Linked DNA regions of Pelodiscus sinensis. Each later gene encodes a partner of the first gene's protein in a complex. Links are inferred from orthologs where the notes say so. Each region holds a gene or a part of one and is shown in the gene's direction. Other genes may lie near its edges. The genes, in order: PPP2CA, STK26, ARPP19 and PPP2R3B.

Region 1 (7,087 bases):
AAAACATGGATGTTGTTTTTAATTATTTATTTAATATTATTTTATTCAGTTATTATTTAATAACACATTGATACACTACACATGAACACCTGTATTAGTGTGAATGGTGAAATTGTTTCCTTGATGCCAAAATAGCAGACATTTCTGGCTTTAGATTTGTTGTCCCTAACATCAACAGTGACCTGAGATTATCATCGGACAAGTTTGTTCTCAAATTGTTCTTCACATATTTCATTCTTGAAAATGTTTGTTCACACAGGTATGTTGTTCCAAAGATTGAAAGGTACCTTGATGCAAAAGTTTTGACATTAGGAAAGTCTTCCTTGGGCAAAAACTGGTAAAAACCCACCAGTCCTATTTTGAACTTGTCCCTAAGGAGGTCATTTGCTTGCAACTCAATGACTTCCAGCTGCAGTTCATCTGGGCAACTGGCCACATCTGCTTCAAATGGGTTTTGAAACAATCTCACTTCTTCTGCCTTTGAATCCAAGTCAGAAAACCGCTGCTGAAACTGCAGCTGGAGGTCTTTGATGATCTCACATGCAAATGACGTGGGGAACTCAGCTGTTGCTTCAGCCATGAATACCTTGCACTGCTGAAAGTGCGTCAAGTTGTTGGCCTGTACTTGTTCCAAAAACAAGACAAGTTTGGATCTGAAGGCCTTTAGGTGGGTGTATAGATCAGAAACTAGATTTTGCTCTCCTTGTAGTTTTAGGTTCAGAAAATTTAAATGACTAGTTATGTCTGCAGCAAAAGCCAATTTCCATACCCACTCTTCATCAGACAGTAATGGCTGTGGCTTGCCTTTACTTTCCAGGAAGTCACCTATTTCCTTTCTTAACTTAAATACTCTGCTCAGAACTTTCTCACAACTTAGCCATCTTACTGCTGTGTAATATGGTAAATCTTGTGATTCTGTGTCTGTATCTTTCAACATGTCTCTGAACTGTCTATGGTTGAGCCCATGTGACCTTATTAAATTCACCATCTTCACCACAGGATTCAGTACACTGCTAATGTCCACATATTTAGCACACAAAGCTTGCTGGTGAATAATACAGTGCAGGAACATTGGTTGTATAATGTTTTTCTCATTACACATCTGCTTCACTTGTCCAACCAAGCCTTTCTTTATGCCACTCATGTTCTTTCCTCCATCAACAGTCAGGCAACTGAGGTTAGTCCAGTCCAAGTTATAATCAGCAAATGTTTTTTTCAACTCATTGAATATATCCTCTCCAGTAACAGTGCCATACATGCTATGTAGGGAAGCCAGCTCTTGTGTTATGTTCATGTCTTCATCCACACCTCTAATGAACACAAGCAGTTGAGAGGTGGAGCAGCTGTCCAGCGATTCATCCATTGCAATTGAAAAATGGCGAAACTTGCTTGCATTTTTCGCTATTTGAGTCACAATGTTTTCACCCATGTCTGCAACACGGCGGGCAATGGTATTCGCACCCAAAGCTACATTTTCAAATTGTTTTGACTTTTCTGGGCAAAGTTCCTCAGCCACTTCCAACAAACATTCCTTCACTACTTCACCATCTGTAAAGGGTTTGCCACTTTTAGCCAGGACGTAGGCAACTTTATAACTGGCCTTAGTTAAGGATTCATTTTCATTTGAGGATTTACTGAACAATGTCCTCTGAGATGTGAGTTGATTTTGTAATTTAGAAAATTTTTCGGCACGGACTTTACCCTTCAACTGTACATATTTCTCCTGATGTTTGCTTTGATGATGACGGCGCAGGTTGTATTCTTTCATCACAGCCACGGTTTCGTTGCAAATCACACACAATGCTTTCTCGCCGGATTTGATGAAGAAGTATTTCAAACTCCATTCTTCTTGAAATTGCCGACACTCATCGTCTATTTTTCTTTTCCTCTTCTCGGCCATCGCTGGGCACTAAAATAAAGTGAATTCAACATGAATAAATAATGAAACTGAAAGTATCTTGCACACAATATCGCTCAAAAAACCTGATTATGCGAACTAATTTTGTCGCAATAATAGCTGCAAATGACCCGAAACAATTTTTAAAAATTCTTATGATTTCTTAAGTTAAACTTACCTGAATATAGTGTGCAAATATATCCACTTATGGTAGAGAGATTGTTGCTTTTAATGTTTCCTCTTCAGAATATTCGCCTGCGAATCCGTTTCTCCCGGAAGGGGGGGGGGGCTTTTCCCCCTGCTCTCCCCTTCCTCTGCACGCTGTCCTCCCCTCCTGCTTGCCACCGCTCACTCCTTCCCCACCCCGGGCGGAAGGGGTCACCTTTTTAAAGTTCCCGCCGGGGTTCACGTTCCCCCGCACGTCGCCGGGCGGGCGTTACCACCACCGCCCATCCTGCCCCCTGATTGGCCGGCTGCCCTGTCAGTCTGGGCGGGGGAACGCCGCCCGTGCTAACCCCCGCCCCCTGCGCCGTTTGCCGCCGCGCGGCCACCTGTCAGAGGAGCGGCCCGCTTCTCCTGCCCCCTGATTGGCCGGCTGCCCTGTCAGTCTGGGCGGGGGAACGCCGCCCGTGCTAACCCCCGCCCCCTGCGCCGTTTGCTGCCGCGTGGCCGCTTGTCAGCGGAGCGGCCCGCTTCTCCTGCCCCGGCGTGGCGTGAGTACACGCCGCACACCCCTGACAGGGCCCCCCCCCGCGGCAAGAAGGGCCCGTTCGGCGGCACCCCAGGGACGGTCTCCACGGGCCGGATGAGAGGGCCTCGCGGGCCGCATCCGGCCCGCGGGCCGTAGTTTGGAGACCCCTGGGTTAATTGAATAGTCATTTAACCCCATGAATTCTTATCCATTACTTGACTATTCTATAGCCTCTGGGAGCGAGGACGGCAGCCAGTGCACTCTGGTTCCACTCCCAAGGAGCCCCCTGCCACTCCACACTGCTACCTCTGTATCCAAAGCAGCAATGCGGGGTGCTAGGCGGGAGCTGGTCCACAAGGGGAGCCAGTTTAAAAACCAGCTCCCTTAATGGATTGACTGCCTGTTGCCCTGCACTGCTGCCTGATACAGCCCCTATCCAGGTAGGTGTTTAAGCTCCCGGACCCGACATGAGCCAGAACTGAGCCAGGCTGCCTGCCCGCCTAGCTCCTAATACACTTTAAATGCAGAGCTACAGCAGGGGTAGGTCCCAGACCTGGCGCAAGTCGGGACTGAGCTGGGCTGCTGGCCAGCCTGCTAGAAAAAATGTACTGGGGAGGGAGGGGAGTGGAGAATGCGTGTATTCTATAGCATTAACCTATACACTTTTGCTTATTGGTTAATCAACTATACTATTACATCCCTAGGTGGGAGTAGTATTTTGCGGTGGGGGGGGGGGGAGAGGCTCACTGGAATGGGCATAGCGGGAGTATTATATTGGGCGGAGACGCTCCCTGGACTGTGGGTGGCAGGAGTATTGTATTGGGAAGGGAAGAAGCTCCCTGGAGTGGATGTGGCGGGAGTAGTGTGTTGGGGGAGAGAGGTCCCCTGGAGCTGGGGTGGCAGGAGTACTGTGTGGCGGGGGAGAGGCTCCCTGGAAGGGTGTGTGGCGGGAGTACTGTGGGGTGGGAGCTCTCTGGAGCAGGAGTGGCGGGAGTACTGTGTGTGTGGAGGTCTCTGGAGCGGGAGTGGCGGGAATACTATGGGTGGCGGGGGTGTGATGGGGTCCACAGAGCGAGGGGCAGCATCTGAAGCAGGCTCTGCAGCGGGCGTCTTATTACAACGCTCTGAACCTGCCCCCTCCTCACATTGCGCATGCTCTGATCGCTTCCAATCGCTCAGTTCAGACATCTTTCCCCCCCCTCGCTAGTTATTGGTGCTGCGCATGCGCCGCTGTCCCGCCATTCTCTTCCTTTTACTTCAGCCACTGCACATGCGCCCGTACATCGGTGCGAGCACTGCGCATGCGCTAATCCCGACATCGCTACGCCCTTTGTAAAGCAAGCATGCACTGATATTTCGGGCTTCCCCACTTGGCTACGAACATCACGCATGCGCCGCCTCTCCTCGGCCGGCCCCGCCCTCTTGTGGTAGGTATCACGCGCACGCGCTATGCTACCCCTCCCCCCTCCGAGGGGGAAGCAGAGCTGGTGACGTCAGGGCGCGGCGGCCATTACACGGAGGGGAGTGAAGAACGAGTGTAGAGCGCTAGAACTGCTGCCGGGAGCCGGGACCTAGCCGCGAGCGTCGGTTGCCGCCACCGCACCTGCCTGGGTGTCCGGTGAGGCCGCGGCCTGGAGCGGGTCGTAGGGGTGGCAGAGCCGAGCGGTAGCGGCAGGAGCCGGGGAGGGGAGCGCGAGCGGGCGGCATGGAGGAGAAGGTCTTCACCAAGGAGCTCGACCAGTGGGTGGAGCAGCTCAACGAGTGCAAGCAGCTGTCCGAGGGGCAGGTGAAGAGCCTCTGCGAGAAGGTACGGGGGGCCCGCGGCCGGGGGGAGCTGGGGCGAGGCCTGGGCAGGGGAGTCCGGGCTGGGGGCGGGCGGCGGAAGCGCCTCTGACAGGGTGAGGAGAGGGGGCTGGGGAAGGGGCCTGTGGCGGGGGGGGGGCTCCCCGCGGAGCAGCCCCTGCGTGAGGAGCGCGAAGAAGAAGCGGGGGGTGGCCGTGGCCGCATCTCCTCGGGCGGGCCCGGTTTTTCCCCCCTAGCGCCCCGGCGGGTCTGTCACCCCGCGGAGATAGCGGGTCCTACAGCGCCGAGCCGGGGGTAGCCTCCTCCCGGGCAGCTCTGCGCCCCCTGCCGCTCCGCTAGGAGACCGACTCCTTCGGCTGCTGTTCGTTGCCTCCTAAAATGGCGCCTCTCGCAGGGAATCTGCGGGGCGAAGAGACCCTTGTGAGCACCAGCCGTGCTCGGCGCTCGGGGTGTCGCTCCCGGTGTCACCTCCTAGTTCCTCCGTGCGAGAGAGGTAGAAAGGCAAATCTGTAAGGCAGCGTCCAAACGCCCACCCTCCTCCCTCCAATGCCCCAGCCCCGCTTCTCATAAAAGGGGGGAGGGTTGAAAATAGCGGTGGCAGTTGTATGAGACGCAGATGGGAGTGTAGTGGCCACAGATTTATGTCTGCTATGTTAGGATGCCACTACTAGTGTCAGACCCAATCTGTAATTGCTGCCCTGTTGGAAGACTTGAACAAAATGCCATCCCCCTTGGCACAGTTAATGCATGTTTGTTTTTCTTGTAAAGTCCACCAAAATGGCAGGAATTAAAAGTGGAAATTTCATTTTAAGGTGGTAGTGTAGGAATTCCTCTCCATAAAAGTAATTTGGAATTGGAATTTTTTGACTGCCATTGCATTACATTTTTTTTTAACTTTGATGTGTTTGGAACAGCCTTTAAATTGTAATTGGGAATTAGATTAATTTAGGGTATTGGTTTCTCCTTGTAGGCATTTCTAAATATAGCCAGGTAATATGAAGTTTTACTTTGTGTAGTTATGGATGGTGAGGTTTGGCTATTACCTGTCTCGGTGGTCATTCCTCATGGTTTTCCTGAGTTTAGAGGAGCCCTGTAGAATTTAGACAGAATGAATAATAATTTGATACTGTAGTAAAATAAAAGTGGGTAAGTTGATTTAATGGTTGCACAAGTACATTTTCGTTACAATTTTTATAAAGCTGTTATAGTTATCTCTTACATTTTATTTTCACTTCAGATTGTGACTTAATGTCTAAAGATGAAAATTTTAAGGGAAAAAAAGAATTTGCTCTACATAAACTAGTCTATTTGCAGTATAGCATGCTAAATGGCTTTCTGACTTATTGTCACTAAAATCCTAGACATTTGCAAATAGGTAAATGGAGACATGCACCATGATAAGATCACTTGGGGCCATGAATGATGCAGCATTCTCATTCTTGTGTTTTAGAAACAATTTCTGTGTAGGCCACAGTACCTCTCCTCCTTTCATACCAATCTGTGTTTCCACAAATAGCATTTTAATGTGGAATACTGATCAAGTATGTTGACTTGAAAGTTTTTGTGGCATAGCATAGGGGTGTGCATTTAACTATAGTGTGGGGAGAATATTTGTGGAGTGTTTTAAGGAATTCAGGTGGCAAAGTTGAAACATTACTGTTGTACACCTGATGTAAATACTCTTAATTTTTATCATTAATACTGAAGAGCCTGATTTGAGGTGTCTGGAGTCACTACAGTGTGTTTGAACCTGCTACTTTCTGAATTCTTTGTAATCTTGATCAGTCACTTGAAAAGTACTTCAGTACAGTATTTCTCAACCTAGGATATGTGGACCCTATGGGGGAAGAGTCACCCTCCCCCCAAGAGTACCCCAGAAGTTCTGCAGGCCTCACTGATCATCAGCTCTTCTCATTCAACAACTCCTGCAATCTAGAAGTTTGGCTGTACAGCAGGGCTGCAGCAGGAGGCTACTTCCTCACTTGTGGAAATGTGCAGGATGGGCATGTTCCTGCAGGACTGTGGAGGGGAGGAATGTGTCCGTGCACTGCCTCCTGTCCTAAGCGCAAACTCCACAGCTCCCATTGGCCAGAGAGGGAATGGACTCAGTCTTGCAGTATCTGAATTTAGACCTGTTGCTTCCAGATGGAATTCACAACCCTGAGTTAAATGCACAGGTTTTCCTGTGTGAAGCATGGGGAATACTATGTACCTAAGAATAGAATCCATTGAAGCCAGCAAGTTGAGTATAGAAAATGCCAAGGGGAGGGCTATGGTGTGTAGCCCACTGAGAGTTAGGTGCCCAGCTCCATTTGAGGTTCACAGTTATGGAATCCTCTCCTGGGATTAAACACCTATAGCCCTTTATTGCTTCCTCCCCCAACAGAAAAACCCTGTTATAACCTTTATCCCAGTGGTTAGTTCACTGAGGATGTGGTACACATAGGTTCAAAACTCCTTATCTGATGTGGAGTAGATATTTGAACCAGTCTCTCTCCTCTCAGCACCATGCTGTAGCCATTGGGTTAAATGGTACTCCATGGTTGGTATTTCAGTATCTCGTGCTGAAGTTGTTCCACTATATATAAATTTGGCTTTTAGAGAGAGTGAAAATGATTATAGCTTAGTGGGCAGGTCATTATCCTGGTGGATGGAAGATGAAGTTCAAATCCATACTACAAATCAGAAGAAGGAAT
Region 2 (7,913 bases), on another chromosome or scaffold:
TACCCATGAGATTGGAGTCCTTACTGGCTTCCAGGTAACTAACATGTATTTTATAACTTTCACTAAGAGGGCTTTTAAAATACATATTTTAAAGAGGTGAGTAGGCAAGTAAATATTTTAATGTTAAAATTTTAACAAACCAAGACAGAAAGCTCCGGTGTTAGCCACATGTCCTATCCTCCACTGAAATCATTGTGGGGTTTTGTTTGATTTTAAACCACAGTCAGTTACAGATGGACCATCTACCTGAATGTTGAATTTCTAGGCTTAGATGGCTTTAGCCCAACCTTAACCTAAACAGATGTGTTTTGTATTTAGTATCATACTGAATGTTGCAAGCACTTCTTCGTGCAGAAGAAATAAGAACAACTTTAAAAACTGCCTTTAAATGAATCCTGCATAAAGAAATTTCCTTTAAATAATTATGTTGGAGTAGGTCTGAGCTATATAATTATCCAACCTAATGGCGGCAGGGTGGCCTAGATGAATGAAAAGGCTGCCTTCTCAACACTGGATGTTTCCTTATGGTTATCAGGCTGACCCCAATTAAGTCAATGGCTAGATTCCTATTGAATTCAGTAGGGCCAGCAGGTAACTCTCTCTCTCCAGTTGTGTAAGGGCTTTCTAGAATGATAATGGGCCCCATTGGAACGTTTGAGGAGGAGAAAGGGTACTATCCAAGAGCAAGGGCCTGCATGCTGGCTACAGTTAATTTTGCACAAAAACCTGTGGAGCATCCATACCTCAAGTGCATTTTTGTGCAAGAAAATGTACAGCAGAAGGGCAGAACAGAGGGCTTTTTGTGGTGTAGGTATACCTCTTTCTACGAGGAATAACTCCTTTTTGCACAAGAGTTCTTGTGAATGGCCATCAGAGATTTCTTGCGTAAGAGTGTTCCTACAGTGTGGATGCTCTCTTGCGCAACGGCACATCGCTTTGCGATGTGCTTTTGAGGTGTGGACGTGCTTTTGCACAGGAAGTTTTTGCAGAAGATCTCTTCTGCAAAAAGCTTCTTGCGCAAAAACTCTGCAGTGTAGACAAAGCCAAAAAGTACTGCCTAATTCATATGAGCTCAGTTCTCTAGATCTGAGCAAATTTGGGTTATGGAGGTGTCAGACAATGGAGTAAATTTTCAGAGCAACTGATACATCACAAGAAAGAACCATTTTGGATAAAAAGGCATTTTAGACCTACTGTAGATATGCACTGTCATAGGTTTTACCCATAACTATACATGAGTGCAGGGTACTAAGTACAGAGGAAAGTCACCTGAAATACTATTTTTCCTTCCTTTCAAACATGAAGCAGAATTGCCCATCACAGAAGGGAGGTAAAGTAAGGTCAGGAGGTTCTGTGGCAGCTAAGAGAAATAACTGGAGCTGGACAATTGAAAAATCATCCTCAAGAGGGGAAAATCATCGCTAAGGAAGACTAAACCCAGGAGCAGGCTCATATCTTAGGGGATGGAATAACTGTAAAAAGAAAAAACATCACTGTGTCTGGGTGTTTACCAAGGGGGACACAGTGGAGATCAGCCAAGTGTTAAGTTCGAACAGAAGAACGAAAGCTGGGGGTGATCGTTATGTTGGAGGCAACTGGTCAAGTGGAGAAACTGAGCCACAAGAAGGTGAACAGTGGCTTCCCCATACCAGCAATGCAGCCGGTGAAAAGAGAGGACGTTGCCAACTTTGTATCCTCCTCAAAGGAGGCTATGGAAGAACTGTGGACTACTAGATGAACAAATCAAAACATAAGACTTGCTTCGTTAGATGTTTCCAGGATGTCAAATTATAAACCCACCAAACTGAGTTGAATACAGTGATGCCTGTACAAAAGGCCACAATTCCTAAGCAATTTCTGTCTCAAGAGGATCTCCAATAGCTATTGCAGACATCTCCTCCTTCATTAAGAGAGCAAATGCCACGGAAGAGCAGAACACAGTGTCCTCCTTGTTGATAAACAGCATCCTTGGGGAAGGACAAGTGGGTTGCCGCCCGGGGCCCCCACATGGTGGGGAGGGGAGAAGGGTACACTTCACTGAGGCCCAGAGGTCCAGGCTGCAAATTGTCATACATATGGGAGGGAGGCCTGTGTTATAAGTTTGTACTAGGCCCCAAAAAATTATGCTTGGCAAGCAGCATGGGAGAGCGGTGCTAGCACACTGCAGTGACCCCCATCAGGTGAGCTTGGGGAGGGAAGCTGAGCCGAGCCTCATCCATGGGCCTGGCCAAGGAACCCCTGAGCCTTGGTCAAGTATGAAGGAACACAGGCCCTCATCCATGGGCCTGCCAAGCAAAGGGCCCACAGACTTGGTTCCTGCAGGGGGAGGCCCACTTTGGCAGAGGGGCACCAGGTGGGTGTGAAGGTCTGGGCCCTGTTCTGAGGCCCCCGGCAGTAAGGAGTATGGGGGGAGGGCACATTGAGAGCCGGGGGATCCATCTCCTGTTCCGCCCCAGCGATCCCCAGCTCCACACTGCAGGCTCCATCCCCCGTGCCCTGCAGAGACCCCCAGGTCCATCCCCCGTGCCCTGCAGAGACCCCGAACTCTATCCCCACAGGCTCCCCCGTGCCCTGCAGAGACCCCCAGGTCCATCCCCCGTGCCCTGCAGAGATCCCGAACTCTATCCCCACAGGCTCCCCCGTGCCCTGCAGAGACCCCCAGGTCCATCCCCCGTGCCCTGCAGAGATCCCGAACTCTATCCCCACAGGCTCCCCCGTGCCCTGCAGCGACCCCCAACTCCATCCCCACAGGCTCCCCCTCCACCGTGCCCTGCAGAGACCCCCCCTCCATCCCCACAGGCTCCCCCCCACCCTGCAGAGACCCCCCCTCCATCCCCACAGGCTCCCCCTCCACCGTGCCCTGCAGAGACCCCCCCTCCATCCCCACAGGCTCCCCCTCCACCGTGCCCTGCAGAGACCCCCCCTCCATCCCCACAGGCTCCCCCCCACCCTGCAGAGACCCCCCCCCTCCATCATAGAATCATAGAATAATAGGACTGGAAGGGACCTCAAAAGGGCATCGAGTCCAGCCCCCCGCCCTCAAGGCAGGACCAAGCTCCACCTACACCACAGGCTCCCCCCCTGCCGTGCAGAGACCCCCCCCTCCATCCCCACAGGCTCCCCCCCTGCCCTGCAGAGACCCCCAGGTCCATCCCCCATGCCCTGCAGAGACCCCGAACTCTATCCCCACAGGCTCCCCCGTGCCCTGCAGCGACCCCCAACTCCATCCCCACAGGCTCCTCCTCCACCGTGCCCTGCAGAGACCCCCCCCTCCATCCCCACAGGCTCCCCCCCTGCCCTGCAGAGACCCCCCCCTCGATCCCCACAGGCCCCGCCCCGCAGAGACCCCCCTCGATCCCCACAAGCTCCCCCCCGCCCTGCAGAGACCCCCTCGATCCCCACAAGCTCCCCCCCGCCCTGCAGAGACCCCCTCGATCCCCACAAGCGCCCCCCCCACCCTGCAGAGACCCCCCCTCGATCCCCACAAGCTCCCCCCCACCCTGCAGAGACCCCCCCTCGATCCCCACAGGCCCCGCCCCGCCCTGCAGAGACCCCCCTCGATCCCCACAAGCGCCCCCCCCGCCCTGCAGAGACCTCCCTCGATCCCCACAAGCGCCCCCCCGCCCTGCAGAGACCTCCCTCGATCCCCACAAGCGCCCCCCCGCCCTGCAGAGACCCCCCTCGATCCCCACAGGCTCCCCCCCCGCCCTGCAGAGACCCCCCGTCGATCCCCACAAGCGCCCCCCCCGCCCTGCAGAGACCCCCCGTCGATCCCCACAAGCGCCCCCACCGCCCTGCAGAGACCCCCCGTCGATCCCCACAAGCGCCCCCCCCGCCCTGCAGAGACCCCCCTCGATCCCCACAGGCCCCGCCCCGCAGAGACCTCCCTCGATCCCCACAAGCGCCCCCCCCGCCCTGCAGAGACCCCCCTCGATCTCCACAGGCCCCGCCCTGCAGAGACCCCCCTCGATCCCCACAAGCGCCCCCCCTGCCCTGCAGAGACCCCCCGTCGATCCCCACAAGCGCCCCCCCGCCCTGCAGAGACCCCCCTCGATCCCCACAAGCGCCCCCCCTGCCCTGCAGAGACCCCCCTCGATCCCCACAAGCGCCCCCCCGCCCTGCAGAGACCCCCCTCGATCCCCACAGGCTCCCCTCCCCCCCTGCCCTGCAGAGACCCCGCTCGATCCCCACAGGCTCCCCTCCCCCCCCGCCCTGCAGAGACCCCCCTCGATCCCCACAAGCGCCCCCCCCGCCCTGCAGAGACCCCCCCTCGATCCCCACAAGCGCCCCCCCCGCCCTGCAGAGACCCCCCTCGATCCCCACAGGCCCCGCCCTGCAGAGACCCCCCTCGATCCCCACAAGCGCCCCCCCTGCCCTGCAGAGACCCCCCGTCGATCCCCACAAGCGCCCCCCCGCCCTGCAGAGACCCCCCTCGATCCCCACAAGCGCCCCCCCTGCCCTGCAGAGACCCCCCTCGATCCCCACAAGCGCCCCCCCTGCCCTGCAGAGACCCCCCTCGATCCCCACAAGCGCCCCCCCTGCCCTGCAGAGACCCCCCTCGATCCCCACAAGCGCCCCCCCGCCCTGCAGAGACCCCCCTCGATCCCCACAGGCTCCCCTCCCCCCCTGCCCTGCAGAGACCCCCCTCGATCCCCACAAGCGCCCCCCCCGCCCTGCAGAGACCCCCCCACAGGCCCCGCCCCGCCCTGCAGAGACCCCCCCTCGATCCCCACAGGCCCCGCCCTGCAGAGACCCCCCCACAGGCCCCGCCCCGCCCTGCAGAGACCCCCCCCCCCGATCCCCCAGGCCCCGCCCCCCGTGGGCGGTCCCGGCTCCACCCCGCGCCCCGCCGAGCGGACGGAAGGACGGAGCCGCCGCAGCCTCCCGAGCCCAACATGGCGCCGGCCGCCGCGGCGCCCTGAGCCCCTCCCGCCATGGGCAGCGCGCGCCGCAGCCGCCGGGACCGGGCCGCGCGCTAGGGAGCGGGCCTCTCGCCCCGCCTGGAGCCCGCAGCGCTCGGGCCCGGCCGCCATGGCCCACTCGCCCGTGGCCGTGCAGGTGCCCGGCATGCAGGTGAGCGGGCCTGCGCCGGGCCGGGGCCGCGCGGGGGGGAGATGAGCGATTCCTGGCTCTGGCGGGGGGGCCTGGGCTGTGGCTGGGGGGGAGCAGGGCTGGGGGGGGAGATGAGCAGTTCCTGGCTCTGGCGGGGGGGGGCAGACACAAGTGGGGGGGTTGAGGGGGCCAGACACTGGTGGGGGGAGCGGGGGGGTTGGGGGGGCCAGACACTGGTGGGGGGAGCGGGGGGGTTGGGGGGGCCAGACACTGGTGGGGGGAGCGGGGGGGTTGGGGGGGCCAGACACTGGTGGGGGGAGCGGGGGGGTTTGAGGGGGCCAGACACTGGTGGGGGGAGCGGGGGGGTTTGAGGGGGCCAGACACTGGTGGGGGGAGCGGGGGGGTTTGAGGGGGCCAGACACTGGTGGGGGGAGCGGGGGCCTGGGCTGTGGCTGGGGGGGAGCAGGGCTGGGGGGGGAGATGAGCAGTTCCTGGCTCTGGCGGGGGGGCAGACACAAGTGGGGGGATTGAGGGGGCCAGACACTGGTGGGGGGAGCGGGGGCCTGGGCTGTGGCTGGGCCCCCCATAGCACTACAGGGGCTTTGTTTGGAAGCCACCTTTCATCCCGCAGCACCCAAGTGCGTTTGAAGGGTTAAAAGAGGCCTTGCTATGTCACCTGCTGCATGGGTGTGTCTGCAATGACAGGCCATGTCAGCCCAGCTGGCCCGGGTACACTGCCTGGCGCCAGCCTGTGTGGAGGGTTCCCCGGGGGGCGCGTGGTGCATGGAAAGAGATGGGGAAGGTGAAGCCCCGCCAGCTTACAGCGAGTTTGCTGCTGTTCAGAGTGGTCCTTCTGTTGAGAGTCTTGTGGCTGGCACCAGACTGGGAGCCCCATTTACAAATGGGCTTCTGTGTGTATTTGTTGCTGCTGTTGACAGTTTTTGCTTTTTGGATACACTGAAGTACCTCTGACATGGTTCCTCTTTCTAAGGTCCTCAAGCAGATTTAGGGTGGGGTTCTCACCTAATTCTAAAGAATTAGGCACCAGATGCCCATTTCAGTGGCATTTGGGCATCAAACTCCTTAAGTCTTGTATACATTGGGAAATTAGGTTGATGTGACTAATATCTGTTAGGGGTATTACACAGCCACGCCCCAGAGCATTTCAGTTAACCATTCGAATGCCCCTGGTAGACAGCAGGAGGCCAAGGGCAGCTGTGTCTGCCTAGCTGCCATCTGTTAGGGAGGGTGGAGCACCTCTACCCACAGAGAACCTCCCCTGTTGGTGAAGATAGCGTCTTCACTCAGTTTGTGTAGACATATGCTATTTTCCTTTGAAAACGAGTCTTGTAACTTTTCCCAATGAGAGTGATGATCCAGAATGTTTTCAAGACAAGTCATTTCAGCCCTGCACTGCGATGTCCTATTTTTAGCATATCTCAGTTCTTGTAAAAAAGCTTGGGTTTTGTAAAATAAACAAAACAAATTTGTGCATTCCTAGTTATCTAATTTTTCTAGTAATATCTGTTCCTCTTTTTTCCTCTACCTAGTTTAAATGTCAATTACTTTTTTACACACCACTCTACAAATTAAATAAAAATAAAAAAAGCAAATGAATTTTTCTGAGACCGTGTATGTCCATAAACTCTGGAGGGCTTTGTGCCAGAATCCTAGGAGGCACAGCTACAACTAAAAGTACCAAACTCTAAAAAATAGAAAATACAATTTCTGTTTGAGTTTTTTTTTCTTCATTTTGCAGTCATGCCTGTGAAATCAAGGAAGAAATTAATACAACAGCTTTTAGGATGAAAATTGGAGAATTCTGTGTAGAGTAAAGGGAGATTTCAAAACTCCTAGTAACAATATTTTGAGTGTGATTAGATGCAGCTTGTAAGTATTTATGGAATGTTTACCCAAACACTATAATTGTGCCCTTTCCAAAAATGGTGAAGGCTAATGAACTTTCAGCAAAGTGGGCCGGGCTAATGATAACATTTGTAAGGCTAAAGTTAGTACCGTTATTTCTAAAGATCTGCACCATTTCTGTACTTCTTCTGAAATCTCTTGAATTTGTCCTTTCAAAGTAATTGCATCATCAGTTTTCTATTGTGCAAACAGACATCAAACCCACACTTTGCTATATCGTTTTAACTTGACAATACACTTTATTTCCACATTATATCAATGTTGATGATGGTACATTTTTAAAAATTAGAAGCAAGTGAACTTTTTTGGAAAATGACTGAGAAATCTTAGTCTAAGCCTTGTTTTTTTAGTTACATCCCTGGTGTGACTTCTCTTCAGAGAATTTTCCTGTATTGCTTTGATAAGTATTTTGAACACTTTCTGTGTGTAAATTCCATAATCTGGTTGTCCATTTCTTCATCTTAAAAGTTGCTCTGCTATTCATTTTCTTGAGCTGCCGTCTACTCTAGGGATGTGAGCAACTAGTCGACTATCCGATAAGCAAATGCTTATCCAACAGTCAACATGCTAGTCAACTAGTCGCTCCCCCCCCCCCCCCCCCCTTCCCCTCTTGCTGCCTCTATCAGAAAGAGGCAGAAAGGAGGGAGGAAGAGAACAGGGTGGTTCAAAATGGCAGTGCCCTAGGGCTGTTGCTACATTTCAAAGGTGGAGGTGCTCTTATCGACTAATCGAATAGTTGATGCAAATTGCATTGACTATTCAATTAGCCAATTAATCTAAATTTAACATCCCTAGTGTAGTCCAGACAGGACTCTGACATTATTTAGAGCACCATTTTCCAATATTTACCTTTACCTTTCACTTCTGCATTTTTAGTTTAACCCAGACCTTGTTGTGCACATGTAGACTTAAAGCACGCTTTCCTAAAGTATTAA
Region 3 (7,953 bases), on another chromosome or scaffold:
TGTGTCCATCCCCCCCCCCCCCCCCCCGCTCAGCTGGAGCTGCACAGCGGATCAGGAACTCTGATACTCCATCAGCATGGTGCCCTTGCCTGCAGGCACTGCTCCTGCCAATGGGAACTTCAAGAGCAGTGCCTTCAAGCAAGGGTAGTGCGAGGAGCCACTTGCCCCCATCTCCCATCTGCACTGCGCTGACTGCTTTTAGAAGTGGTGGGGAGCAAGGGCAGGCAGGGAGCCTACTTCAGCTCTGCTGTGCCACTGAACAGGAGCTGCCTGAGGTAAGCACCCTGCACCCCACTCCAATCGCCTGCCCTGAGCCCCCTCCTGTACCCAAACCCCTCATCCTCTGCTCAGAGCCTCACCCCTTTTGCACACCAAACCTCTCTCTCAGCCTGGAGCCCCTCTCACATTCCAAACCCCTCATGTACTAAATGAACTACATTTAGTTTTCATTGCATTGAAAAATTATTTTAAAAATTGAATGTACAGTATTTGGTTCTATGTGTGTGTCTCATGGGGTGTTGCACAGGGCATACAGTAATCATGGTTAATGGTGATTGCAGAAGTGGCTCCCAAGTCACATAACTGAGTACCAGTGCTTTAAAGTGAACTAAACTTCATACAGTATTCTAAATGTAGATACTGCAATTTTTCATTTAATTCTGAAATGATTGGCATGCTGCTTTACTGCTATTTACTTCAATTGCAGTTGTGCAAACAGGGCTGAATTAGATCCAGTTCTAGCATGCTAGGTGGTCTACAAACTGAATAAGACAGCCACTGCCCTGAAGAGTTTAAAGTCCAACAACTGTGCTTGTGCATACAAAGTTTTATTCTTTTTATACTTCTGTGTAACTTTGTTTACGCTGAAAAGTGTAGAACCTAAAAATCACCAACTGTGCTTGCTCCACCACATAAGCAGCAGAATAGCAAAAACACCACAGTCCAACTCACATCAGCTTCCATGTTGCATTTTCAGACATGCTTAATTATATATCTAAAGTTTGCAAAAGTAATCAAGGCATCAGTTATTAAATATCTCTTCCCCATTGCCTCTCTCTGAAAATAAAAGATCACAGATAGAGGTTCTTCAAAAAAAGGAAAACTGCTGCTTCAAGCTTTTTTACAAAATTTACAATATAACTGCATGCCTATATACTATCTTTCAACCTATGGGTTTTGTAATGATATTTAAAAGAATCATTTACTCAGCATATAAATGCTACCATTATTTAGTAAAAACATAACTGCTTTTTATATCTACTACAGCAAAATTTACAACAGTTAACGGCTACATCCTGCAAACCTAGATTTTTGAGGAATAGGGGATCTTGAAAAAGAAGGTTTTTTTCCGACAAATGGCCCCATCTACACGAGGCTTTTAATCAGCAAAACTTCTTCCGCAAAAAGAACTGGAAGAAGATATGCAAATGTGAGTGTGATTTGCATATCTTCCGAAAAACAGCGGCATTGTAGCCCTAGCCTTAATAAAAGTGGGGGTGGAAAGACACCCTTTTTACTTGAAACTTCAAGAGGATTTTAAAGATGAATTGCTAAGAGAAACATCAATCTTAGGCTCTTATGATGAAAGCTTGTGTATCATTTTACATTTTCTTTACATCAGAAAGTCTGCTATCGTCTACCTTGGAACTTTCTGATTATTGACAGAATTTTGAAATTATTACTTCAAGAACCAAGATGACTGAAGTAGAGAGGGAACAGGCCAGCATTTTAGTCAGATTATTAGAATGTTCTGAAGAAAGGAAGACTTTTTAAGTCTTGCCAGTCAGCTGAAGTGTAAGATGCATCCAGAGGCCTCGAAGCAAAAACATGAGAGAAATCTTCTGTTCATCTTAAATGAGCAAAGCTGAAATTCTTGGGTTTTTAAAGGTAAAAACCAAACAGACCAACAACCAAAGATCACAAATCTTCCAGGTTCTTTAAAATGGCATATTTTACACACTGATGATAATCCCACAGAGTTGGAAACATCATAGAGGACAGGTCCATTCTCCCCTCAAACTTGTGTGGCTAAAGGTATTATAGTAATGTTTACAGGAGACTAGCTACCTCAGGCTTCTGCTGATGAGCCATAGAGCTTGTAAATTTCCAGTTTAAATCCTACCCAGCTCAGCAGGGATTAAAAACCCAGATCAGCAGAGATTAGATCTCCTATCTAATATATTGGGCACTGCCTTTATGAGAGGATGAGTTTGATTTAGTCTCAATTCCAGCTCCCATATCAAACTCATCACTATACTTTACATTAGATCAGTGGTTCCTAAACTTTTTGGCCTGCAGCCTGTCCCACTCAATGCAAACCTTTCCATGGAACACCAGCCAACTGTCCATCATGATAAAATGGGTGCAGAAGAGGGTGGAGGGATGATGTCTGGCTGGGAGGGGGGTGCAGGATCAGGCTGGAGGTGTGGGGTCTGGGTGGAAGGGAGGGTCTCAATGGAATGGCTGTCTAAGAGAGATAGGGGATGTTTACCTGGCTCAGTGATCTCTGCTGCCCCCAGGATTCCATCCAAAGGGAGCAGTGGGGGAAAGCCTCTATTCCTCTAGCCATGGGAGGGAAGGGCAGTGGCAGCACATGAAGTGTCTTCTTCCCCTTATGAGTTGGATCCCTGCAGCACTGGTGCTCCAACCCTATAGGGGGTCAAGGCTGGAGTACCACTAGTAATCTGCAGACCATACTTTGAGGACCACTGCATTAGACTGTAAGCCAAGGGTGGGGAACCTAAAGCCCACTGGGGAGCCTGCGCTGGCACTCCAGCCTTCTGCTTCCCACTGTGGGGCTGGAGCAGGTTGCTTATGTCAGTTGGGTGTCATGTCAGTGAGGGGTTGGTGGGGTTTTTTCTTTTGCTTCTCACTTGTGTGTGGCCCTGACCCCAAAAAAGTTCCCCATTCCTGTTGTAAGCACATCAGGCTAGGGATTGTTCTTACTCTTACTTTAGTTGCACTGCTCTGATCTTGAGTGGATCCTTCAGCAAGACCTCTTAACGTAGCAGCCAAAATAGCCATACTCACTATACATTTGTCAGAATTGGCAAGAGAAGTTGGAGAGAATACTGAAAAGATTCTATTCAAAAGTTCACTATTTTAATAAAAGTGCTTTTTTCACAGCTTCAGATTTCTCACATTCTCAAGCGGTATGCAATCCTGGGAATGCCACATCCCACACCATCTTAGCTCAATCCATGGCTATGTCTACACTGGCGGGTTATTGCGCAAGTATGGCCGTTCTTGAGCAAGAATCCGCAGAGAGTCTACAATGCAAACCTGCTCGTGCGCAAGTAAATTTACAGTACAGCATGATAAGACAGGACTGCTTGCGCAAGAATTATGCTCTTTTTTATAAGGTGTAATCTCTCTTGCACAGTAGCTCTTGCGCATGAGGGCAATGTGAACACTCGGCAGGAATTTCTTGCGCAAGAGAGCCCTATGACTAAAATGGCCATCAGAGCTTTCTTGTGCAAGAGTGTCCACACTGCCATGGGAGCTCTTGTGCAAAGCACAGCGCACGCATGGCGGTGTGGACTTTTTCTTGTGCAAGACTTCTTGCACAAGAACCCTTGCGCAAGATGTTCTTGTGCAAAAAGCCACCAGTGTAGACATGGCCCATGTGTTTTATCTTAATAACTAGCACATCTGTTAGCAAAAATACAAGCACCAATAATTAGGCTCACAAACTCTCCAAGACTGGATGGACTGAATGTCATTGCCACAAAGGGCATCTCGTTCAACTGGTTGGGAGAGTTAGCAACCCTATCAATAATCAACCAGGGAAAATGTGTGTTTATAATATAATCAGTGTTACAGCAACATTTACTGTGGTGTTTTCTCTCTGGTACTCCATCCACATTTTTAGAGGGAGTGTGAGCTGTTGAGGTTGAACTCTCTGCATTAGCCTGAGCAGAAGCCTCTGCTCATGCTGGGACCTTGCTAGACGCAAAATGCTAGGTAAGTGCTCCATACTGCAACCTTCTGCCCTAGCCCTGAGCCCGCTCCCACACCCAAACTCCTGCTCAGACCTCATGCCTTGAGCACCTGGGCATGTAGGATTTGTGAGCAATGCCTGCCAGGCAGTAGGGACAGGCAGGGCTTGGATAATTGCAAGATGTTTAAATTTCGGATTGACAGAGCCCTGGCCTGGTTGATTTAGTTGAGATTGGTCCTGGAGGCTGGACTTGATGACCTTCTGAGGTCTCTTCCAGCTCTATGATTCTATGAATTGTTGATGCTAGCCCCGAGGATGAATGTAGGGCATGTAAAATGTCCGGTTATTTTCTGTTTTTTCTCAGACGGAAGGCCACTTGGGACGTTCCTTCACTGCTGCATTTTTTTTTTTTGGCTCAACTAATTTCCCTTCCCTGCCATGTTTGATAGCTGTTGTGAAAGTATTGGACAACGCTAGGGTGAAGAGGCAGCAACGCACAGGAGTGACCACACATGGACATGGGTAACAGGTAGGGTCCTGATGAGAGCCCTGCCTGTTGGGGAAGGAGGTTTAGCTCAGGCCAGTGACTTGAGTTAGCCCGTGCCGGGAGTCGGGGAAGAGGAGCAAGGCATAGGCCAGCGGCCTCATGTGCTGCGGGGAAGGAGGGGAGAACATGGGCAAGTGACTCGGGCACTGATCCATTTTCCCTTTGGGAAATATGGTCACGCTAGCAAGGATGCTGTTCGTTAAAGGCAGGGGAGGCTTCCTAACTGGCACTAATGTGGACACCCCCTGTCCTAACGCAGGTCTCCCTCGCTCTCTTCCCTCGAAATGGCCCAATCACGGAGTAAATTGGAGCCATCCTAAAGAGGTAGACCAGACAAAGACTAAACTACAACTCCCAGTATGCATCTGCAAAGGGGGCGGATATGACGTTCAAAAGTCGGACGTTGGCGTAAAGAGTGAGGCCGGAAATTGCACAGTTCTTTTCTGCTTATTCGCTCTCTTACCTCAGGTTGAGAAGCGGGTTGGCTGGGGAGGGGGAGTGCGGAGGAAGTCTGATCCCGCCGGCTCGCCGTCGTGAGCGCGGCGGCCATCTTGTGCGGGAGGCGATCGGTGTGTGCGGCGGCGCTGGTTGCAGCGAAGGACGGAGGCGGCTGCGCGTCCCGAATCCCTCCCGTCTCCTTCTCTAGCAGCTGCTGCGGGGGGGCGCGATGTCCGCCGAGAGCCCGGAGCCCGCCTCGGCCGAGGAGCAGAAGGTGGGCGGCCGGGTCGTGCCTCCTCAGGGCACGTGGGGGAGGCGGCCGCTCTCCGGAGTTATGTCGGTTCGGGGCCCGGGTCGGCTGCATCCGGTTGGCCTGGCAGCGGGCTTCGTCTCTGGCGGCTGGCGCTGCCGTCTCTCAACTCGCGAGGGCCGCTGATTCTGCTGGGGCGCGGCGCCCCGGGCCTGAGCTGCCCGTCGCCTCTGCGAGGCCGCTTTGCTCCAGGGCTGAGGGGAGCCCCGCAAGCGCGGGGTCCGCCGCGGCACAGCAGGCCGGATTCCCTGAGCGGTGGGGATTGTCTCTGCGTGGGCGCGTTACCGCCGGCGGGGGGGGGGGGGTGGTCCGGGAGCGGGCGTGCGCGAGCTCACAGCTCGGGGTTGCTTCCCCGCAGGAAGCGGGGGTGTCGCGCGGCCCCGGGCCCTGGCTCCTGCAGTGGAGCGCTGCGGCCCCCTGCAACATCAGGGTGCTTGTCCCCGGGCTGAGCACTGTTGGGAGGTGTTGCTGAGATGTGTGAATGCGCGGGGCAGAGGTGGGTGCAGGCCCCGGCTCCATAGCTGAATATAGCTGAGGGGTGAAGAATGATATTAAGAGATTGACCTTTGCACGTTTTTTCATGAGGAATTTTATTCTCCTGACCAATGAATCACTGATATGCCTGAAGCTTCGGGAACGAACACTTTCCGTCGCCCCATTGTGCCGGTCCTTGGGCCTTTCCCTCTCCCCCAGCTAGTCCCTGTACTTGTCTGTGTTAGGAGTGTGAAGGGTTTTAGATTCTTCACGTGCAGTTTTGGTAGGCGGACACTAACCACCATTTTATCAGCATCCTTATTTCTGAATGGTTTAAGGAGCAGCAAGCCACTTGAGAATGTCACCTTTTCCTGTAAGCCATAGAGAATGGAGAGCTTCCAAAACAAAACTGCTGTACCATACTTATGCCCTGTCATTATTGAGAATAGCCATTTTAAAGAAGCAATTGGCAGCTTTAACACATTATTTGTTGTTTATAGTATCTCGAACTTTGAAAACTGGAATATAGCTTTCACTCTATGCAGCCTTTTTTTTCTTGGTTTGGATCATGAGAAATCTTTTCTTTTTTACACTTGTGTTATTGTTATATGGACTGCATTGCAAACAATACTGGGACATTGTTATTTTAAAAGTCTTCCTAGCTGGACTTAAGTTACGGAATCACTTCTCTTGTGCTGAAGTGCTGTGACTTTTTTACCCCTGTTTAAACTTGGATGATAGTATGTAAACCAAATATATGTCATCCAAATTTGGTACAACTTATCTTGCAAAGAGGTGTGAAAAAAACATAGCCCTGAGCCACTTCAGTTATACTGTCAAATATGTTGGTGTGGACAGCCCTGTATTGGCAGGAGACACTCTCCCGTCAACATAGCTATTGCCTCTTGCTGGGAGTGATTTAATATTGCCAACAGGAGGGTGAATTCCCTCATTGCCATTGAGCAGCTTCATGGGAGGCTTGACAGCAGTATAGCTATGTCATTATAGGCTGTAGAGTGTAGCCATGGCCCAAAGCTTTGCAGTCATCTACCCATTTTCTTGTGTCTGAGCTGAACTGGTTGTAAAGGTAGGGTTTTGGGCTCATGCTGACTAATTGAAATATCTTAATGAAGACCGTACTAGTTCAAACTTATTACAAGCATGTAGCTTATTGTTTTATTTTGTCTTCAATAGCTCAAACATTTGTAAAAAAACTATTGAAGGGATAGTGTTACTAGCCAAAAATGTAGGATAACACACAACACACTTTGGAATGTGCATCACTGTCACAATAGCTCTGTATATGTGAGTATTCTTAAATACTAAATTATGCAACAATATAGCTTATATGATTTCCTTCGTAGTATTTTAGTTCAAGCAATTGATTCATGCTGAAAACTTTGATACTAACCAAATATCAGTATGAAGACCTCAAAGTTTAAACATGTAAGGATTTTTTTTTTCAGCAAATAATGTATCATTGTTCTGGTGCAGTAGTTCCAGTGTGAAATTGATTTGAAATGGATCCAATCTAGCCTAATGGTCTAAGTAAGAGAGATTTAAAAGAACAAACTTTGTATTAAAATTGAACACATTTGATTTGCGTGCTGTTAGGATGCTGTATGTGTCATTTTTACAAAGTTGTGCTACTGGACTTAATATTTAGTAAACTGCAGATTAGATTTTATTAACTGGCACTTTTATTTTGCACCCTCAACTTGTTTCATTTGGGAGCCAAGAAGATCTTGCCCAGCTCCCTTCTCAAAAGTCAACTAAGAGTATATTAATTTTTTCAGGGTTTCTTGCTTTAAAATCTGTGCATTCTCACGTCTTTGTTCAATCTTTCACTGATGTTATGTGCTAGGAATAAATGCAGGAACCCTGTGACAAGACAGGAAAGCAGTTTGCACAGTCATCACTGGTATTTCCACAGGCAAATCAAATGCTCTCTTATGTAGCAGGAAATGAGAAATATTGAATAAAACAGTTAGAAACATTTTCCCTGGGTAATATTGGCTATTTTAGACTAGATTATCAAAATGTTATTGCAAGAAAGTAGTACCTCTGCATCACTTACCAAAGTTATGCATCTAGAGCAGAGGTGGGCAATAATTTTTGACTGGGGGCTACTTCAGAAATTTTTGAAGTGGCCCTGGTTTGCTCCGGAAGGGGTGGGGCCTCAGGCAGAAGGGGCAAAGCCAGGATGCTTCCCCACCCACACACCCTGATTGGTCTGAGCATGAG
Region 4 (7,873 bases), on another chromosome or scaffold:
ATTTTACTGCACCACCTACATCCCCCTAACCCTATTTCCTGATCATCATTTATCCCCATGTATAACTTTCATCACCTTTTAGGTAACTACTGAATATGACTCCATTACTTTAAGACACTGGATATCGATTCATAATTAATACACTCATTTTTTATTATTCAAATGTACATTTTAAGTGTTCATCACTGGAGTGAATGGGTAAATTTTGAACAAATTGGACCAAACAAATCTATGTTGACCACACATTAAACCAACTGAGATGTGGGAATACCAGTCAGAAGACAAATTTCTATAGGGAAGTGTAAACCATTGGACTCAGGAGGCGTGCGTGTTCCCCTTTTATTTAACCCTAAGGAAATTCAAAAGCCATCTCCTTGAAAACTCTTTGCTCCCTCCCCCCATGAGCCGCTGCCCACTCTAGTCTGAGCAGCCGAGTCCAAAGCCCTCCACCAGTTTCTCCACGGTCTTTCAGTTATTCAATTTCCGAGTCCAAAGCCCTTCACCAGTTTCCCCCGCAGTCTTTCAGTTAGTCAATCTCCGATACCATTCGCAAGGCTCACCACTTTCATAGCACCAGGAGACAATTGTGGATGGCGGGGTAGGAGGACCCAGCCCACCCTCACTCCCAGGTCCCAGCCCAGGGCCCTAAGGCAGGGACTCCTACTTCCTGTGCCTGGATGATGGGGGAGTTCCCCATAACTCACCAGCCCACGGGCTTCACGACCCCGCCTTGGGCCACTTCTTATCTGCCTACTGATGCCGACGTACCTCCGCTGGATACTGCACCTCGTCTGGCTGGGCCTCCGGCTTTCTTGCTCTCTGGCCTTCGGGCTGCTCCACCGGCCCTCCTCCCTGGGGTTGTACTCCTCGCTCTCCCCACTCTTGGGTCCTCCCTGACTCTTTTAAGCCTCCCGCTGCCGCTTCAGCGGGTGACGTCACTCTCCTGCACTGGACAGACGCCGGCATCCCCTCCGCTGCTTTAACGGGTGACATCATGTGCCTGCGCCGGGCAGACGCAAGAGGCACACCACCTCCTCTCTGCCCGTTCCCCCCATAGTGCTGGGCCGTCACTGTCACTAGTGCGGGGCTTGCTAGCCCTGTCACAGGAAATCCAAAGTCAGCTCTTATTTGGAAGGCCTTAACAAAAGGGTGCATTTACAACTTTTTCTAAAATTGGACAAGTTTGAGTTCAGACATGGGGAGCAGAAGCAAGTTTCATAAAAGACACCTTGTTGGAGGAGACCTGCTCCAGCTCTTTCAAGTTGTTTCCTTGGACCAACTTGCCAAACTGTTACCTCCAGTTGCAATACCAGCTGATGATTTTCTCCAAATGCTACTTGCTTCACTGAAGACATAAAGGGTCTGATTACCATCTCACAGAAAACAGTGTAAATGTTTACACATTCAATTAAAGTAAATTTAGTTTCTGTGAATTTACACCAACATGCATAGATAAGATTTGACCCTATGTATTTTTCACAGATGGTTTATTTCCTTTCTCTGATTTCTCCATCTGCTCCCTATGGGAGCTCTCATTGTCAGCATCGACAAAGGGAATCATTTCTATGCAGATGATATCCAACTTTACAACTCACTCAAGTGGCTCTCTGATCCCTTATTGCCACCTGTTGTCACTCTGTCAATCAACAGATGGCTACATCATTGCAAAGGAATGCTTCAGAGACTTTCAAAATGTTTTAAGAGTCCTCTTTGTTCCATGTCTCTGACTTTTCTGTTATTCACTCTGCTTAATTCAGGCCTTTACTCCAAGGGACAGAAATCTTATAATCCATGACAAATAATATTTTTTGTCTTCCCTCATCTTCCATATTGAAATCTGTCCTTGACTACTTCCAGAATATTCACAGATTTTTCCTTACTTCAGATTCTATTTTTCATATTTTATGTTCAATGCCTTAATAATTTTCCATCTTGGAGAACGCAATTCAATTCATTTTTGTCTTCCTAATATTCTGCTCTCCTGACTTTACAGTCCACTATGCAGGAGCCAGAGTATTATCTTACTCAAAAAAGTGAAGCCCCTCAATTTATTCCTCGTCAATTTTCAGACTTTCTTATAATCTCTGAATCCATTTTAAAAACTGTGTCAAAATATGAAATTATTTACAGGAATGGTTCAAAAAGCTAAACAAAAATGACAATTGTGCCAGTAGTTTGGGTAGAAGGTGAGTATTTTTAATATAGCAACTGCTTTCCTGCTTTTGTTGGCATTTGGATTTATACAAGATTGTTTCTCAACACCACTCATATGAACCTTCTCCTTTGCTCATGCAATCTTAGCTTCCTCTTGTCTATCCCCTCTTTCCTTTACTCTTCACAAGTGGAGGAGCAAGGCCACTTTTTCACAGCTCCTAGATTCACATAATTTTAAATTCAGGGTATGTCTACACTGCAATAAAACACCTGCAGTTGGCCTGTGTCAAATAACTCAAGCTTGCAGTAGAGCCCAGGCTCCAGCCAAAGGCCAGATGGCTTCACAGAAATTGTATAGCTCTGCAACCTGTGCCAGCTGACATGGGCCAACCATGGGTGTTTTACTGCAGTGTAGACATGCTCTTCATTCCTCCCTTCTCAAATACTAAATTCCATTTCAACTTAATTGCTGCTGCTTCATATAGATGATAATGTAGGGAAAGAACACTTCTAACGCTGCTACAGCCCTGGAACACTAATCTTTCAAAAACCGCCATTCCACCATTACACAGAAGATGCCATAGGAAGCCAGCAGCAAATCGTTTAAATTTAGCAAAATCCTTTCTTTCACTTCACAGTGACACATAGTTTATCTATTTATATATTTGAGAGAGTTTGTCTGTCTCTTTGTTCAATAACTCCTCCTAAACAGTAAGAGCAAGAACCACCAAATTGGGTATGTAGCTTCCTCTTATCATAATTTAAAGCAAGGTCATGGTTTGATTGTGCCAGGATAATGGGATGTGCGTGTAATGTGATTGTTTTTCATAACACGGAAAAGGAGGGTTCTGCTTGCAGGGACAGTTATATTGTATAATGACAACAGGGGGAGTAGTAAGGGATCAGTGATGGGGACTGGGACAGTTATAATGGGGGCCAGGGTAGACAAAGGGACAACCATCAGAAATAATTTGTCTGTTTGTGTATCTGTCTCCCGGCTGGGAAACATGCGCCCCTCTCCTGGCTGTGCCCTCTACAGCTGTAGCGGCCATGAACAGGCATTTATCACCTGACCCCAAGCTGCTGCGGTCAGAGAGGGCTGGGGCAGTCCTTTCTCCCTCAGCAGCCTGAATACTAACCTCCTCACAGTCAGTCCTAACTAAGCCTCCCCCGCCTCTCCCCCAGGCTCCCTTTAGGGAGGGTGAGGGGTGTTGAAGCCTCCCCCCAATTCATATGGAATATTGCTAACCCGAGCAATGCTGAATAAATCCCAGATTTCCCCACAACCTCTTCTGATATGGTTGCACTATATATATGAAAGGAAGTGCAACCATATTAGGAAAGGGTGGGGGAATATCTGGGTAAAAATACAGTGGATCTGCAGCTGGATGCCAATAGGTGAGTGAAAAGTGCATATAAGGGAATAAGCACATGCCCCTCTTTATATTCTCAACCCCACAAGCCTATCTAAAAAGCCGCAGATATTTGTGAAACGTATACAAATGATGCAACTATGCAGAGGTTTCGAAGCTGGAGAGCAAGAGTATAGTGAACTATATTGCAGGGAGTGGCTCTCAAACTGAGTTCTTAACAGAAAGACTCTTTACTATTTACCTTTACTATTTACCTTTAATTGAGCATTGCTTGGCTTCACACCCTCTCTCATTTGTCCATTAGAAGAAACACCTTTCCTCCCTTTTGCAACCCCCACCTTAGCATTCCTATGGCAACTACAGCAATTGCTTACATAGAAACGCAATAGGAAAATATTTAATGTATTTTTAGCTGTCTTTTAATGGAACTTAACAGCTGGAAACAAGAAGAGCCAGCATCACGTGATTAGTCAGCTCTCTTCAGAATACCAGCAAGTGCGCCGTTGACCCACTGCTTAGCAACTATTGCCAAAAGAGGCTGCCATCCATAAGGGTTTAGGTGAAGATGGGGGAGTCCCTTAGAGGAGCCTAGGACCATAGTGGCAAATGACACTGAGGCACAGCAGCACCTTGCTTTGTGACTTCTTGGCTGTAGGGACAAGCTGGGCTACTCCTTTGTGTCCCTTATGTTGTGATGCACTATGAAGCCAGGCAGAAGCATCCCTGCCACAGGCATGTGCCCTCAGCCATAAGGATGGGGAGACTCCCAAGCAGGAGGGAAGGATCCTGAAGATCCAGTGGCACAGGGAGGTAACCAAGCCCCAATCCTTGACCCACAAGAGACAAGGGTGGGAGCCAATAGGGCAGGGATGGGGAACTTTTTTGGGGGGAGGGAAGACTGCTGACACACAGAAAAAAATCAATTGGGGGGTGCACATAAGTGAGAGGTAAAACAAAAAAAACCCCCAACCTCTCACTGCCGTGTGGCCCCACTGAGAAGGAGACAGACCCTGCCCCCATTCCCCAGGCGCACCAGAGCCCTGGGAGGTCCAGGCTAGTAGATTCTGCCTGCTCCAGCCCCGCGGGGGGGGGCAATGCTGGAGGGGGGTAGAAACCCCGAGCCTCTGGCCAGCGGGGGCTGCATCCCCTGCAACCAGGGACATGGAGCAGGCGGAGGCTGCGCTCAAGGACAGCAAAGGGGCGGAGTCTGTGCTGGGAGAGGAGGGGAAGGATCAACACCTAGCCCCGCCCCCCGCGCCGCACGGGCTGCTGGGAAAGTAGAGCTGGAAAAGGGCGGGGCCAGGAAAGCAGCAGCCGGAGGAGGCGGTCAAGCCGCACGGGCTGCTGGGAAAGCGAGGCGCCCGCACGGTGCCGCCATCAAGCCACCGCCTCTTCCCGGCGCGGCGGTGTTTTCTTCCCGCCACGTGGGCCCTCCTGTCACCCGGGCAACCGCGCGCGCAGCTTCTCGCTGGGAGAGTCTCGTGAGAGTTGCGGGGGGGTGGGGGGGGATAAAGCGCCGGCTCCCGCGCGGGGCGGGCCGGAAGGCGGCGCGGTGGGTTTGAAGGCAGCGGCGGGAGGCGCCGGAGGTGAGACGTGAAACCGCCGCCGCCGTCTGCGCCCCGAGCCCGGCGGGGGAGTCCCGGGCCCTGGCTGCCAGCGGGTCCCCGAGCCGCCCGGTGGGGAAGGGACCTGAGAGGAGCAGGGAGCTGAGTGCGGCCGGGGCCTGTCCGCTGCCCGGGGGCTCGGCGGGGGCGGGGCGGGGCTGCTGAAGCCATCGGAGCGGCCAGAGCAAGGGGCCATGTGAGCAGCGGCCAAGGGCAGGTGCTTCGGGAGGAGTGAACAGAACTGGGCAGTTGTCAAACCATCCATCCCCTCTCCGCTTCCAGATGTCCCAGAGCGCGCACCCAGGAGGAGGGCGGGGTTGCACCCCGGACAATCTTGGCTAATGGCTAGGATGTCAGACGTGAAAAATGAGAATGGGGTAAAACAAAGCCCCCAATATTGCAGCAGTCTGGTAGCTCTGCGAATAGCTATTGATGGGCCTATGCTCTGTGAAGTGATCTAATTCTTTTTTAACTTTATCATTCTAGCTTTAATAACATCCCTAGATGACACGTTTCAGAGGTTGTGCGGTGTGTGAAGTACTTCCTCTTGATAGCCTTAAGCCTGCTGTCTATTAGTTTCGTGACTGACAGTAGTGCACCCTGGTTTGATCTCCTCAGGGAACTGAATCCATCAGGAGACAGACACTGTGCATTCAGCCCTGTAGTGAGCTTTGTGGACTAGGCCATGCAATGGGTTTCTTCCATATCAAATAGTTGTCATTCAATGAAAAAGGTCTGAATTTAACACAATGGATAACTCTGATGCTGTAAACACAACGTCTGAAAAATACACTAACCAACATAATGTACAGGAAGGGGTGAGATAATGTCAGTCACTTAACTGTAGCTCTGCCTGCCTTGTCTTGTGTGCTTAATTGCAAGCATTGTCACTGCATAGTGTGTTTAGGCTTTCCCTGTAGAAAACTGTGAAATCAACATATGGAATTGAACATATGCAAGTTTGGGTAAACTGAATACTGAATTTTTACTCTGCTTTTATTTGATGATAGCTTAAAATGTGGAGTATGGGTGTCTCTTTTTACTAAAGAGCCTCAATGTATTATGTTGCACAAATCATCTTTCAGTGTTACATGTGCCCCAAATTCACTTAACTGAAATCCCAATCTTCAAATATTTAGTGGAACTTGTAGTTAATTCTGATGCAGTGTATTACTCTGCAGATCTGACATTTACTCAAACCAGGACAAACAAGCCATATCTAAAGGAAGTTTGACTAAGTGATGTTATAGATGTTTAAAGGTTCCTGAGTTTTTTGTCCATTGTTAAGACATATGTTAGCTGGAAAATTGGATAAAAGCTCAAACTTCCTAATTTAAACATAAGTACATTTTTATGGTTTTGTCAAAAGCTTCAAATATGCTACTTTAATTCAGGTTTTAATAATAATTGCAAGTATTTTACATATCTGTAAAGCCTTCCATCTAAGGACAAGAATGTTTTGCAAACATTAAGCCCCTTTCTGAGAGTGTGTGTTGTTTTTTTTTAAGTGAGGTGACAGGTTATCAGGATCAACTATAGAACTGGGAGAACAACCAGATTTTCTCAGTATTTTGCTTTAGCCCTTTCCTTCTTCCCTTAAACTCTAAACTTAGGCATGTTCAAACTGGAGTTTTGCCTCAGAAGTGAAAGAAATTCAAAGCTGAAAGGTCTTGCTGCTATTCCAACACTTCCCAGCATCATAGGTTTGCACTGGCTTTTTAAAAGCACAATGTTCCATACATTGTAAAGGTTAATAATGTTAACTGGTGTTTTCAACAGTGATTTGTTTTGTGTTCTTACTAAGACATAACAATCCAAGGCTATGTCTACACTGGCGGGTTCTTGCTCAAGAACAGCCATTCTTCCACAGAGCGTCCACACTCCCCGCCTGCTCTTGCACAAGAAGAGTTACAGTACGGCGTTGGAAGAGAGGGCTTCTTGCGCAAGAGCTATGCTCTTTTCTAACGGGTAAGTCCTCTTGCTCAAGAGCTCTTGCGCAAGAAGGCAATGTGGATGCGGGGCAAGGGTTTCTTGCACAAGAAAGCCCTATGGCTAAAATGTCCATCAGAGCTTTCTTGCGCAAAAGAGTGTCCACACTGCCATGGATGCTCTTGCGCAAAAGCACATGACAGTGTGGACGTCTTCTTGCACAAGATGTTTTTGAGTAACAACCTGCTAGAAACTTCATTTAGGATTATACTGAGTAATCACTTTGTCTCTGTAGTATCCGGTTTTAAGCCTTATTCAAGACTGACTTTTTTCATTAAAAAAAACCCCAAAAGCACTTGGAACTTTGCACATTTACACTCACAGAAAGAAAGATTTTTTTTTTGGTAAAGTTGGAAATAAATGTTTAAACATTATTAGGGCTTGTCTTCATGTACAGTGCTCTAGTAGTGCACGCTTTAGTGAAAACACTCCAATGCTGACAGAAGAGTTTCTCCTATTGATGGAGTTAATCCACCTTCCCGAGAAGCAGTAATGGCATTGGCAAGAGGAGTTGTCTGTCGGTGGGTGGTGAAGTTGGTATAACTGTTGCTCAGGGGTATGGATTTTTCACACCTTGAGTGATGTAGTTTTACCAGTATAGGTCTGTAGTATTGCTCTGGCCTCAGATAATTTTTTTTTTTTTTGTGAAGATTGCACAGGATGGGGACCCGTAGAATAAACTTCACAGCTCAAATTAGTTTTAAAAGTCCTGGTACAAATCACAGTTGGTGGAATGTGGTCTTATTCTCATTT

Evidence for each region.
Region 2: PPP2CA (region 1) and STK26 share a complex: the UniProt entries of both Homo sapiens proteins name them as parts of the core of STRIPAK complex. The link is inferred for Pelodiscus sinensis from reciprocal best matches to the Homo sapiens genes PPP2CA and STK26.
Region 3: the proteins of PPP2CA (region 1) and ARPP19 are in contact, whole or in part, in a cryo-EM structure (PDB 8TTB), measured with the Homo sapiens proteins. The link is inferred for Pelodiscus sinensis from reciprocal best matches to the Homo sapiens genes PPP2CA and ARPP19. Residues at the interface, in NP_002706.1 of Homo sapiens: Arg89, His118, Gln122, Gln125, Val126, Tyr127, Tyr130, Asp204, Asp205, Pro213, Arg214, Gly215, His241, Gln242, Leu243, Met245, Tyr265, Arg268, Cys269; in NP_001293124.1 of Homo sapiens: Phe60, Asp61, Ser62, Gly63, Asp64, Tyr65, Asn66, Met67, Lys69, Ala70, Lys73, Ile92, Pro93, Thr94, Pro95, Leu98, Arg101.
Region 4: the proteins of PPP2CA (region 1) and PPP2R3B are in contact, whole or in part, in a crystal structure (PDB 4I5L), measured with the Homo sapiens proteins. The link is inferred for Pelodiscus sinensis from reciprocal best matches to the Homo sapiens genes PPP2CA and PPP2R3B. Residues at the interface, in NP_002706.1 of Homo sapiens: Cys20, His63, Tyr91, Tyr92, Arg135, Lys136, Tyr267, Arg268, Arg294, Arg295, Gly296; in NP_037371.2 of Homo sapiens: Met410, Leu432, Asp436, Cys439, Gln440, Met441, Leu442, Asp443, Leu444, Lys446, Glu450, Gly451, Lys462, Leu463.

What each region holds. Positions count from the first base shown.
Region 1 is NC_134727.1:28,175,661-28,182,747, reverse strand, and holds the start of PPP2CA (serine/threonine-protein phosphatase 2A catalytic subunit alpha isoform), read left to right. Parts: upstream 1-4,072; 5' UTR 4,073-4,293; coding exon 4,294-4,395; intron 4,396-7,087. UniProt on the Homo sapiens protein: Catalytic subunit of protein phosphatase 2A (PP2A), a serine/threonine phosphatase involved in the regulation of a wide variety of enzymes, signal transduction pathways, and cellular events.
Region 2 is NC_134723.1:45,941,815-45,949,727, reverse strand, and holds the start of STK26 (serine/threonine-protein kinase 26), read left to right. Parts: upstream 1-4,898; 5' UTR 4,899-5,031; coding exon 5,032-5,073; intron 5,074-6,918; exon of another isoform or gene 6,919-6,933; coding exon of another isoform or gene 6,934-6,942; intron 6,943-7,913. UniProt on the Homo sapiens protein: Serine/threonine-protein kinase that acts as a mediator of cell growth. Modulates apoptosis. In association with STK24 negatively regulates Golgi reorientation in polarized cell migration upon RHO activation.
Region 3 is NC_134724.1:25,594,312-25,602,264, reverse strand, and holds the start of ARPP19 (cAMP-regulated phosphoprotein 19), read left to right. Parts: upstream 1-4,949; 5' UTR 4,950-5,154; coding exon 5,155-5,199; intron 5,200-7,953. UniProt on the Homo sapiens protein: Protein phosphatase inhibitor that specifically inhibits protein phosphatase 2A (PP2A) during mitosis. Inhibition of PP2A is enhanced when ARPP19 is phosphorylated.
Region 4 is NC_134711.1:224,710,143-224,718,015, forward strand, and holds the start of PPP2R3B (serine/threonine-protein phosphatase 2A regulatory subunit B'' subunit beta), read left to right. Parts: upstream 1-4,862; 5' UTR 4,863-5,113; intron 5,114-6,860; exon of another isoform or gene 6,861-7,099; intron 7,100-7,873. UniProt on the Homo sapiens protein: The B regulatory subunit might modulate substrate selectivity and catalytic activity, and might also direct the localization of the catalytic enzyme to a particular subcellular compartment.